2 linked regions of the Mus musculus genome follow. Each later gene encodes a partner of the first gene's protein in a complex. Each region holds a gene or a part of one and is shown in the gene's direction. Other genes may lie near its edges. The genes, in order: Csf1r and Csf1.

Region 1 (4,281 bases):
GTGTCTTCTAATTCTGTCTGATGCTGACACCATCTACGTGGAGAGAGCTCATGTCTAAGTTAGGAACCCAGCCTCCATTTCACTCCACTTACTGATTAGGGGACCAGAATCCTCCATGGGTCTCATTAATTCACTAGAGTAGCTCACTTTACGTGTGAACCTTTTAAACGCATTACACGTATGTGCACCACGCGCATGCCTGTTGGATGCCCTAGGGTTATGGATGGCCACCATGTGGGTGATGGGATTCGAACCTAGGTCCTCTGCAAGACCAATATGTACTCTTAACCACTGAGTCATCTTTCCAGCCTCCTACTGATTTGTTACACAGGACATGACAAAGGGCTAGAGATCCCCAAATGAAGATCTGGGGACAAGGGGACATACCCTCCTCTAGGAATGTCTACTTTAACCAGAAACTTCTAGTCTTCCTTAGTCTTTCAGGTAACTCCACTCTATCCTGAAGCCTCCTAACAGCTGTCAGCTGCCAGTCAACTCAACTCGATGGTTCATAAAAGGGACAGCTTTGAAGAGTACAAAGATTCTGGGGGTTGTGTCTCAGCAAACACATGCTACATAGTATCATTACCAGAATCCTAGACAACCAGGACGAATCTCAGCAAGTCAGGGTCTGACCACTTGCCCTAGAAATCAACTATGAAAAGTGATTGCTAGAGGCAGGAACAGACTTGAAGCGTCCAAGGCCCTGTCTCTGGGGAAGAGTTCAGGTTTAACTATAAGAAGACCTGGTTCAGCGGGGCAAGAGTCCTGCTCACAGTGGGTGCTGTTGGATTTTACCAGTTGGTCCCAGAGGAGTTATTCCTGGCTTTCATGGCTTGAGGAAACAGTTTGGTCCCCATGGCTCATATTTAGGGGTAACTTCATTTCTTCTCATGGGGTGACCGCTCTCACCTAGGGGGATAATGTCATCATGGAGTGATTTGTCTACAGGACTTGTTATTTTTGGAACCTAGAATAAGTTTGGTTTAGGACAATTAGTGGAGACTTCCAGTTGCTGCTATAGGAGGCTCATTACTGTCAAAGTCCAAATCTCCAGTTACCTTGAGGCCTTCTGCCTTAAGGGCAGATGAGAAAGGTATGAAGAATGTAGGATAACCTGACCTCTCTCAGCCAGGCTCACTGCTCATCTGGGAGACTCTTATTTATGCTCCTGACTCAGAGGCTGCTGCTCTTGGGTATGACTCCTCTCCTAAGTGTCCTTAGAGGTGGTTTCCTAAGTCTCTCAAACTCCATCATCTCCCTTCAGGATCAGTTGAGCCTGGCCCCAGATTCTGCCTCTTCCTCTGGTGTGTGGTGTGTGTGTGTGTGTGTGTGTGTGTGTGTGTGTGTATGTGTGTGTGCTTTGTTTTCTTCTAGAGACCCAATATTTCCAAATTCTGTAGTTCCCTTTCAGGCAACCTAAAAAAAAAAAAAAAAAAAAAGGGGAAGAGGAGCCAGTGCAACAGACAGGAACGTGTTCATCTGTTCCCGTCCTCACAGAACTAGCAGCTGGGAGCCCCGTGCCCAGCCGACTCTCCAACCTGCATCGGCTCACGCTATCCCCTGGAGGCTATGGAGTTGGGGCCTCCTCTGGTCCTGCTGCTGGCCACAGTTTGGCATGGTAAGGGGAGAAAAGGGGAGTCCTGCTGGGGGAGTGTTGCAAAGAGGGCATCGCTGTCCTGCAGTAGATGCCTCATTCTCTGCTTCACTTCTCTGGCATAAGAGTGCAGATTTGTGTTTATCTGTCGAGAAGAGTAGGTGAGAGTGGGTGGAACCACCCGGGGCCAGTGCTGTGGATGTGTCTGAGCCTAGGCTTTGACTCACGGTGTGCTCTGAGTGTGACCCTGGTATTTTCAGGACCACCATCCACATCTACTCGTCTGCAGGTGGGAGGGAGGGCGGTAGTGGGCTAACCTTGAGTGCAGCGCTTTGGGGTGTTACCTGGGAGTCTCCTTTAAGGCAGATTCCCATAGGTCTTGGTCAGGACTGAGATTCGCATTTCTGAGGAAATCTTATGCGTCAGGGCTGCTCAATAGCTTTTGCTGTTCTTCTTTGAGTGGTCCCACCAGCTGGACAGCCCAGCAGGCTGTGGTTAATTAGGACCTGGCCCATTCTTGGAAGGCTTGGGTGAAAAGGGTCAGGGTAGAGGAAAGAAGAGGCCTTTTTGGCCCAGGACTCAAGGGTGAAAAGTTTGGACAGGGGTCGGAGGAGAACACCCGTGAGTGAGAGATCCTATGAATAAGCAAGGAAGGATGCTAGAGAGGGGCCTGGGGAAGGCCAGAGAGGGTCTCCCTAGACACTGTCTTCCTAGGTCTCTCCCCCCAACTTCTCGGGCAGCAGAAGCTGCTTCGGAACTCCCATTCTTGGAGGAGGTCTGGCTGAGGGTGAGAACGAACATAAATGGCCCAGTGCAGCGCAAGGATCCCATCTAGGCTCCAGCTGGCCTAGCACACACATGTTCTATACCACACCACTGCTTATTTGGAAAGACCTTGAGGGAAGATGCTGGGGAAGGACAGGCTCATTCTGGTCCCTGGGGAATTGGTGAGATGACAGTCCGTGGAAGGCTCTTTGCTGGCTCAGCCGATCTCACTGGCTCGTGCACTGGCACATTCCTAGTAGAATGGGATTGGTATGTATGCATGAGAAAGCACACATTCTTAAGAATACTGTTAAAGGGCATGTGACAGATGTGTGTGTGTCAATGCAGCCCTGACTCAGCTAAGAAAGAGACAATTATTATTCCTCTCATGCCAGAAAATCCTGTGATTTTTGGTTCACTGCTTTTCAGTCTTTATCTCGAGGGCTGCTTGTGGGGCAGAGTGTGTGAGTGGCTGCATGCCTGCGTGTGTGTGTGTGTGTGTGTGTGTGTCTGTCTGTCTGTATCCAGCTCCAAAAGGAAGAGAAGTTGGGAGATATCAGTGGAAAGCCTGGGGTTTTAACCTGGAAAATTATTGGTGTGTGGGTGGGACCATGGGGGCTTCTGTAGGAGCTGGAATAGTGTTGAAGCATTTAGTGGCAGAGAGAGAGAAAGAGAGAGAGAGAAAGAGAGAGAGAGAGAGAGAGAGAGAGAGAGAGAGAGAGAGAGAGAGAGAGAGAGAGACTGGCCTCTTCTCTTTGAGTGGTAGTCATGAGTGCAAGAGGTTGGGGAGCCTCCTGGAGCTGATGGTGGAAGAGTCCATTTTGCAAGTACAAAGAGGAGAAAGTTTGGGTCATGGGGAGAATTCCAGAAGGGAGATGCGAGATGAAGAATGGCCAGGATCAGGGCATCAGTGGCCATCAAGTGCTCATCCAAGGGAAGGTAGTGATCAGCGTGCTTCCCTCCCGCCAACCCTGCCAGCGGGAAGTGAGACCATCATGCGGCTTACGTGGAATTCGTCAGCCCTGTTCTGTGTAAATATCCAGGGCAACAGGCTAGGCAGAAATAAGAAGGAAGCTTCTCTCGGAGCACATTTCCTGGAGGCCAAGACAGGAGACAAAGATAAGCAGAGCAGAGTAGCCCGGGAGAAGGGAGAAGTGTCTGGAACCCAAAGATGTGTCCTGTGACCTTTAGGGTTAAGGTCCTTAGCTACCACATAGCAGGCCCAAGAGGGACATTAGCAGTACGGCCTGAGAACAGCAGGTGGGTCAGGAGGACTCCACTGCCCTCTAGGTGGCCGCTGGGATTGTTCTCACAGGACAGAAGAATATCTGATGCTCAGAGGGTCAATGGCTATCAGGGTCCCTAGCCATAGTCAATGTGAGCCCAGGGTGAAATAGCTCGTCCCTCTTCCTGCTGATCACTGCCCAGGAGAGCCAGAGCCCTACATCAGCAGCAGCACACTGCTCTCCTCTGTTCCACATCTGGCTGGTTGGAGGCTTGGGCAGACAGGCCACATGTTTCCAAAGAGTTTGAATCAGAGTGAGCAGACATTAAACCAGGCTGAAATCATCTGTGAGATGAGACTTTCCATTTCTGGGCTCGTGTGTGTGTGTGTGTGTGTGTGTGTGTGTGTGTGTGTGTGTGTGTGACCCACTGAGAGCGGTTGTAGGAAACCCTGAAGTCCTCTAAGGGCTTGATGCCCTTAGGGCTGCCCTGTCACTGTGTAGGAAGGGTTGACTTGCGGGGTCAGCAAACAGGACAGTGGCACAGCACAGACAGACTGTGCCCAGTGTGCTCTGAAACCCAGCACTCCTTGCCAAGAGTCCCTCAGTGTGTGAGAAGGACAATGGCCAGGAGGCCAGGGAAGCAGAAGTGAGAGCCCAAGTGTCGAAGGGCCACAGGCTGGGCGGAAACCAGGG
Region 2 (4,499 bases), on another chromosome or scaffold:
GATTCTAAACGTAATCACTACTATCACTAGTATTCAGTGGTTCTAAACGTAATCACTACTCTCACTAGTATTCAGTGGTTCTAAACGTAATCACTACTATCACTAGTATTCAGTGGTTCTAAACGTAATCACTACTATCACTAGTATTCAGTGATTCTAAACGTAATCACTACTATCACTAGTATTCAGTGATTCTAAACGTAATAACTACTATCACTAGTATTCAGTGGTTCTAAACGTAATCACTACTATCACTAGTATTCAGTGATTCTAAACGTAATCACTACTATCACTAGTATTCAGTGGTTCTAAACCTTCTCAATGCTGAGACCTTTCAATACAGTTCCTCATGTTGTGGTGGCGCCCCAACCACAAAATTATTCCATTGCTACTTCACAAGTGTAATTTTGCTACTGTTATGAATCATAATGTAAAGCATATGATATGCAGGATATCTGACTTGTGACCCCCCAAAGAGGTTGCCACCCACAAGTTGAGAACCACCAGTTTAAAATAATGTAGAGAATGAATGAATGAATGAATGAATGCCAACTTAACTGGGAGGAATGGGTTGCGTCCAGTGGGAACACAGAAAGAAGGAATTATCCATCAGCCTGAAGCATCCCAGAAGGCTTTGCAAGACAAGGATAAGATGTGATTATAACCTTAAAAGGTGAGACATTCACCTTAAGATGGATGGGGGAAAGGAAGACTTCATGTCCGAGGAAGCAGCCTGAGCAAAGGTTTATGAGGGACGTTGTTGCTCTGAGCTAGGTAGTGCAAGGAAATGGAGGACACGTGACAAAAGTGCCCCTTTGAGACCAGACCACTCATCTGGGCATGACGGGATTGAAACACATTGAATCAGGATAAATGGAAGGAAGAAAAAGATCCTGACGTTGGCAATATAATTAATAGGCTCCTCTTGATAGGTTAATCTAGATCCATTCTCATGTAAAGACAAAATGTGATTGCACAAATGCATTTCCAACAGAGTTGAGGGAAATCTAGAGTCCAGGCACACCAACCTTTCCACATAAGCTGGGTTTGGCAGCCCAGGAGCAGGGGGCCAGCCAGTGCTTTCAGGTTAAGCACCTGAAGTGTCTCCTGGCAGAGTGCAGAAACACCCAGCTAGTTGTCACAGGACCAAGTCCTTCCTCTCCTACCCAGGTAGCTGGATGCTCCCCACTTCTCCCTACAGCCAGGGGAGAGGATAGTATAGTAGTATAGTAGATTCTTTGAACAATGCATAGGAGGGAGCAAGCCAATCTGCAAACCTGCTGCCCTGGGTTCCATGAGGGACTTGAATGGAGCTGCAGCAGAGAGGCGTTGGTCCATCCCCATTCAAGTCCTGTTCAATGTACTCTGTCCGTTTCCTGCTCAGATTTGAGGATTTTCGGGCCTTGAGGGAAAGTCCCTAGGGGCCAGCATTAGACCGAGAACAATCACACGAGATTGACAAGAGTGGCGAGCACAGAAGGAAAGGCAGTGTCTTGTCCAGAGCTCGAGAAGGGCGGGGGAGGGCGGTGGAGCCCGGGTTACTTTGAGGAGGCTGCACAGCCACAGAGCGACGGGGAAGAGAGCTAGCGGGGACGACCAGGCGGCCCGCTTGGGGGAAGGGAGTCGGCGGCTCAGTGGGCCTCTGGGGTGTAGTATGTGTCAGTGCCTGTGAGTGTGTTTGTGTGTGTGTATGTCTGTGTGTGTCTGGCGGAGAGCCAGGGTGATTTCCCATAAACCACATGCCCCGCCAGCCCGCCCGCTTAAAAGGCTGTGCCGAGGGCTGGCCAGCGAAGCTCGGCCAGGGGAAAGTGAAAGTTTGCCTCGGTGCTCTCGGTGTCGCTGCGGCTCTCTGCATCCCAGGACAGCGGCGTGGCCCTCGACCGGGGCGCGGGCTCTTCAGCCACTAGCGAGCAAGGGAGCGAGCGAACCAGGGCGGCCAACACGCCGTGCCGGGACCCAGCTGCCCGTATGACCGCGCGGGGCGCCGCGGGGCGCTGCCCTTCTTCGGTAAGCTGCAACCGTGGCGCGCGGGGCCCGGGCCGGGCTGGGGCAGGAGCTCTGCAGCAAGCAGCAGGCGGCTCTGCGGGGCCACTTGGAGCGGACAGCCCCTTCTCGCCAGCTGCCCAGGCTTCTCGGCCCTGGGTTCTGGCTTCCTTACTGCTTCTAAGCTACGGCTGAGGCCCGCGGTATTTCAATAGCTGCTCCTGGGGCTGCAGCGCTTTGCGAGGTAAAGAGAAGGCTGCTCATCCCATTGCACGGAGGAGAACACTGAGCTACCCACAGGCTGGAGAGAGAGATGGGGGTCTGGGGGGGGGGGGTATCGCAGGGATTGGCACAGGCCCAATGTCTGCCAGAATGGTCAACCAGGTCTCCAGGTTCCGAGTGACACAAGATCCGAGTGTGGCATCATCCCCAGTAGATATCTTTCTTTGGTTGTTGCACATGTTTTAGGCCCCAGTTGGGAGTGGGCCTTCAGGGTAGGGAAAATTCAGGCTCACTCAGCTTTACACCAGGACCTGTGCTGAGCAACCTGTTGGCAGAGAGAGAGAGAGAGAGAGAGAGAGAGAGAGAGAGATGGGCATGCTGCTACTTGTTCAATGGATGTGTAGGAACTATTAGGGACTTGGGTGGCTCTTTGAGGGGAGCTGGACCCGAATCTTTTCTTGAAGAAAATGAGATGGGGCTATTCTAGACTCTGCGGCTGACTGAGGAAAGAAAGTGCAAGGAGAGTTCAGAGCTGCAGCTGATAATGGGCTGCTCAGAAGCTGTCTCCAGTAATGGCAGCAGATGATAGCATGGCTCTTACAGAGTGAAGGATGGTACTTTCAATCCACAGCAAGTGGGTTTGCTTCAGAAGAGAATGAGAGGGAAAACCTGGAGGGTAGGAACCGAACTTGTGATGGGCAGCGCGTTGCAGGTGTCTGGGAGGAGAGAAAAGTAGAACAGCAGAGAGAGGGGCTCAGTGAGAGGCAGAAGGTGGGGTTAGGAGGAGGGGAAGGGAGGAAGTTATCCCACATGCAACAAGCATAAAGAGAGAAGAGGGAAGAAAAGAAAGACTACAAGGAGACATAAGAGGAAAGAGAGGAGGCCGAGGTTCAGCCAGGCAGTCAGGCCGGGTCTCTGTCTGCAGACTGTACTGATTGGAAAATGGAACATGATGTCTTGAAGTGCTCAGAGACTGCCGCAGTTTCCAGGCTGCTCTCATAGTCAGAGGCTGAGGCAGTGGGTGGGAGGAAGAAGCAAGCCAGGAAGAGCCTGTCCAGCCAGATGCAGGCTAGAGTATTAACCCTTGGGTGTCCATCTGTATCCCTGTCTATGGCAGCATTGGGGTTACAGAGCCAGATCCAGGAGTGGCTGGTCATCTTTGAAGCCAGCAGCTGTGCATTATTTCTGTGCATGCTTGAAATGCCACCAAAAGCCAGGTAGCCCTGAAGTAATGTCTTTATCTTGCTATCTCCAAACATCAATGGCTTGAAATTCCTGGGTTGAGATATTTCTGAACATCTCCATTCCCGGGTCCTTTCCTTCATACCATACACACATGGACTGACAGGCTGAGTGATACCAGCCTGGGCCAGAGTCATCTTCTGCAGTCATTTCCTTTAACAGGTTCTGAGACTGGGGTTCAGGAGACCCGGGCTGCCACTCCCACTCAGGACTAACTTTCCAATTGCCCAACCATGCCCAATGCAGTTTATCAACCCATAGCTGGCTGCACCCTCTCCCCCACCTCTTTCTCCCTGTCTCTCTGTGTCTGTCACTCTGTGTCTCTGACTGTCTGTCTCTGACTGTCTGTCTCTGACTCTCTGTCTCTCTCTCTCTCTAAGGTCAGGCAAGGAACCTAACAGGTCCTGTGCGTAATGGCATTAGGCAACCCTGTGCCTTAACACCCATCAGCATCTTCCACCCTTTAAGGCCTCACTCTTCCCTCCGCATGGCCCAGCCAAAGCTGCCTTTCCTCCCTGGTACTCACTGGCAAGGCTTTGGGCTTTTAGATGTAACCCAGTGTTGTTATGGACTGTTTCATAGCCTCCCTGTGTTTTTCCAATGCGCTCCTATTTGCAACATTTGTCTCATCATCTGGACTATTGGGGCAGAGCCAGATCCAAGAAGGTGCCAGTCATCACTCCACCCTGCCAGCATTTCCCTGAATTGGGGGATATCAGCAGCCAGAATGCTCAGAATGGCAGCATCAGGCCAGGGAAAGAAAGCCCAAGAGTCCCTCTGCCCCAGGCTGGCATCTCCCGGGATACCCTATTGGAGCCCGAAGGGATGGAAGGATTTTAGAGTAGAGGAGGAGGAAGGAAGAAAGGAGAAAGGAAGGACCCAGTCAGGTGTCAGGAGCCAGACCTAGGACTCTAGGGATGAGCAGCTGCAGGGCCAGGTGGGTGCTGACGGAAAGGAGAGAACTTTCTTGCTGTGGCAAGAGTTTGCTGACTAGATGAAGGGCCTGATGGGTCTCAGATAAACAGATGCCAGCAGGGAAACACAGCATTGTC

What was found.
Region 2: the proteins of Csf1r (region 1) and Csf1 are in contact, whole or in part, in a crystal structure (PDB 3EJJ), measured with the Mus musculus proteins. Residues at the interface, in NP_001032948.2 of Mus musculus: Arg142, Arg146, Leu149, Arg150, Lys151, Lys168, Val169, Leu170, Ser172, Asn173, Val231, Gly232, Phe233, Leu248, Ser250, Asp251, Phe252, Asp254, Asn255, Tyr257, Lys259; in NP_001107002.1 of Mus musculus: His38, His41, Met42, Gly44, Asn45, Gly46, His47, Phe87, Gln90, Asp91, Asp94, Arg98, Asp101, Glu110, Arg111, Gln113, Glu114, Leu115, Asn117.

Annotation. Positions count from the first base shown.
Region 1 is NC_000084.6:61,104,378-61,108,658, forward strand, and holds the start of Csf1r (macrophage colony-stimulating factor 1 receptor precursor), read left to right. Parts: upstream 1-1,194; 5' UTR 1,195-1,307; intron 1,308-1,403; 5' UTR 1,404-1,572; coding exon 1,573-1,621; intron 1,622-4,281. UniProt on the Homo sapiens protein: Tyrosine-protein kinase that acts as a cell-surface receptor for CSF1 and IL34 and plays an essential role in the regulation of survival, proliferation and differentiation of hematopoietic precursor cells, especially mononuclear phagocytes, such as macrophages and monocytes.
Region 2 is NC_000069.6:107,757,533-107,762,031, reverse strand, and holds the start of Csf1 (macrophage colony-stimulating factor 1 isoform 1 precursor), read left to right. Parts: upstream 1-1,562; 5' UTR 1,563-1,968; coding exon 1,969-2,007; intron 2,008-4,499. UniProt on the Homo sapiens protein: Cytokine that plays an essential role in the regulation of survival, proliferation and differentiation of hematopoietic precursor cells, especially mononuclear phagocytes, such as macrophages and monocytes.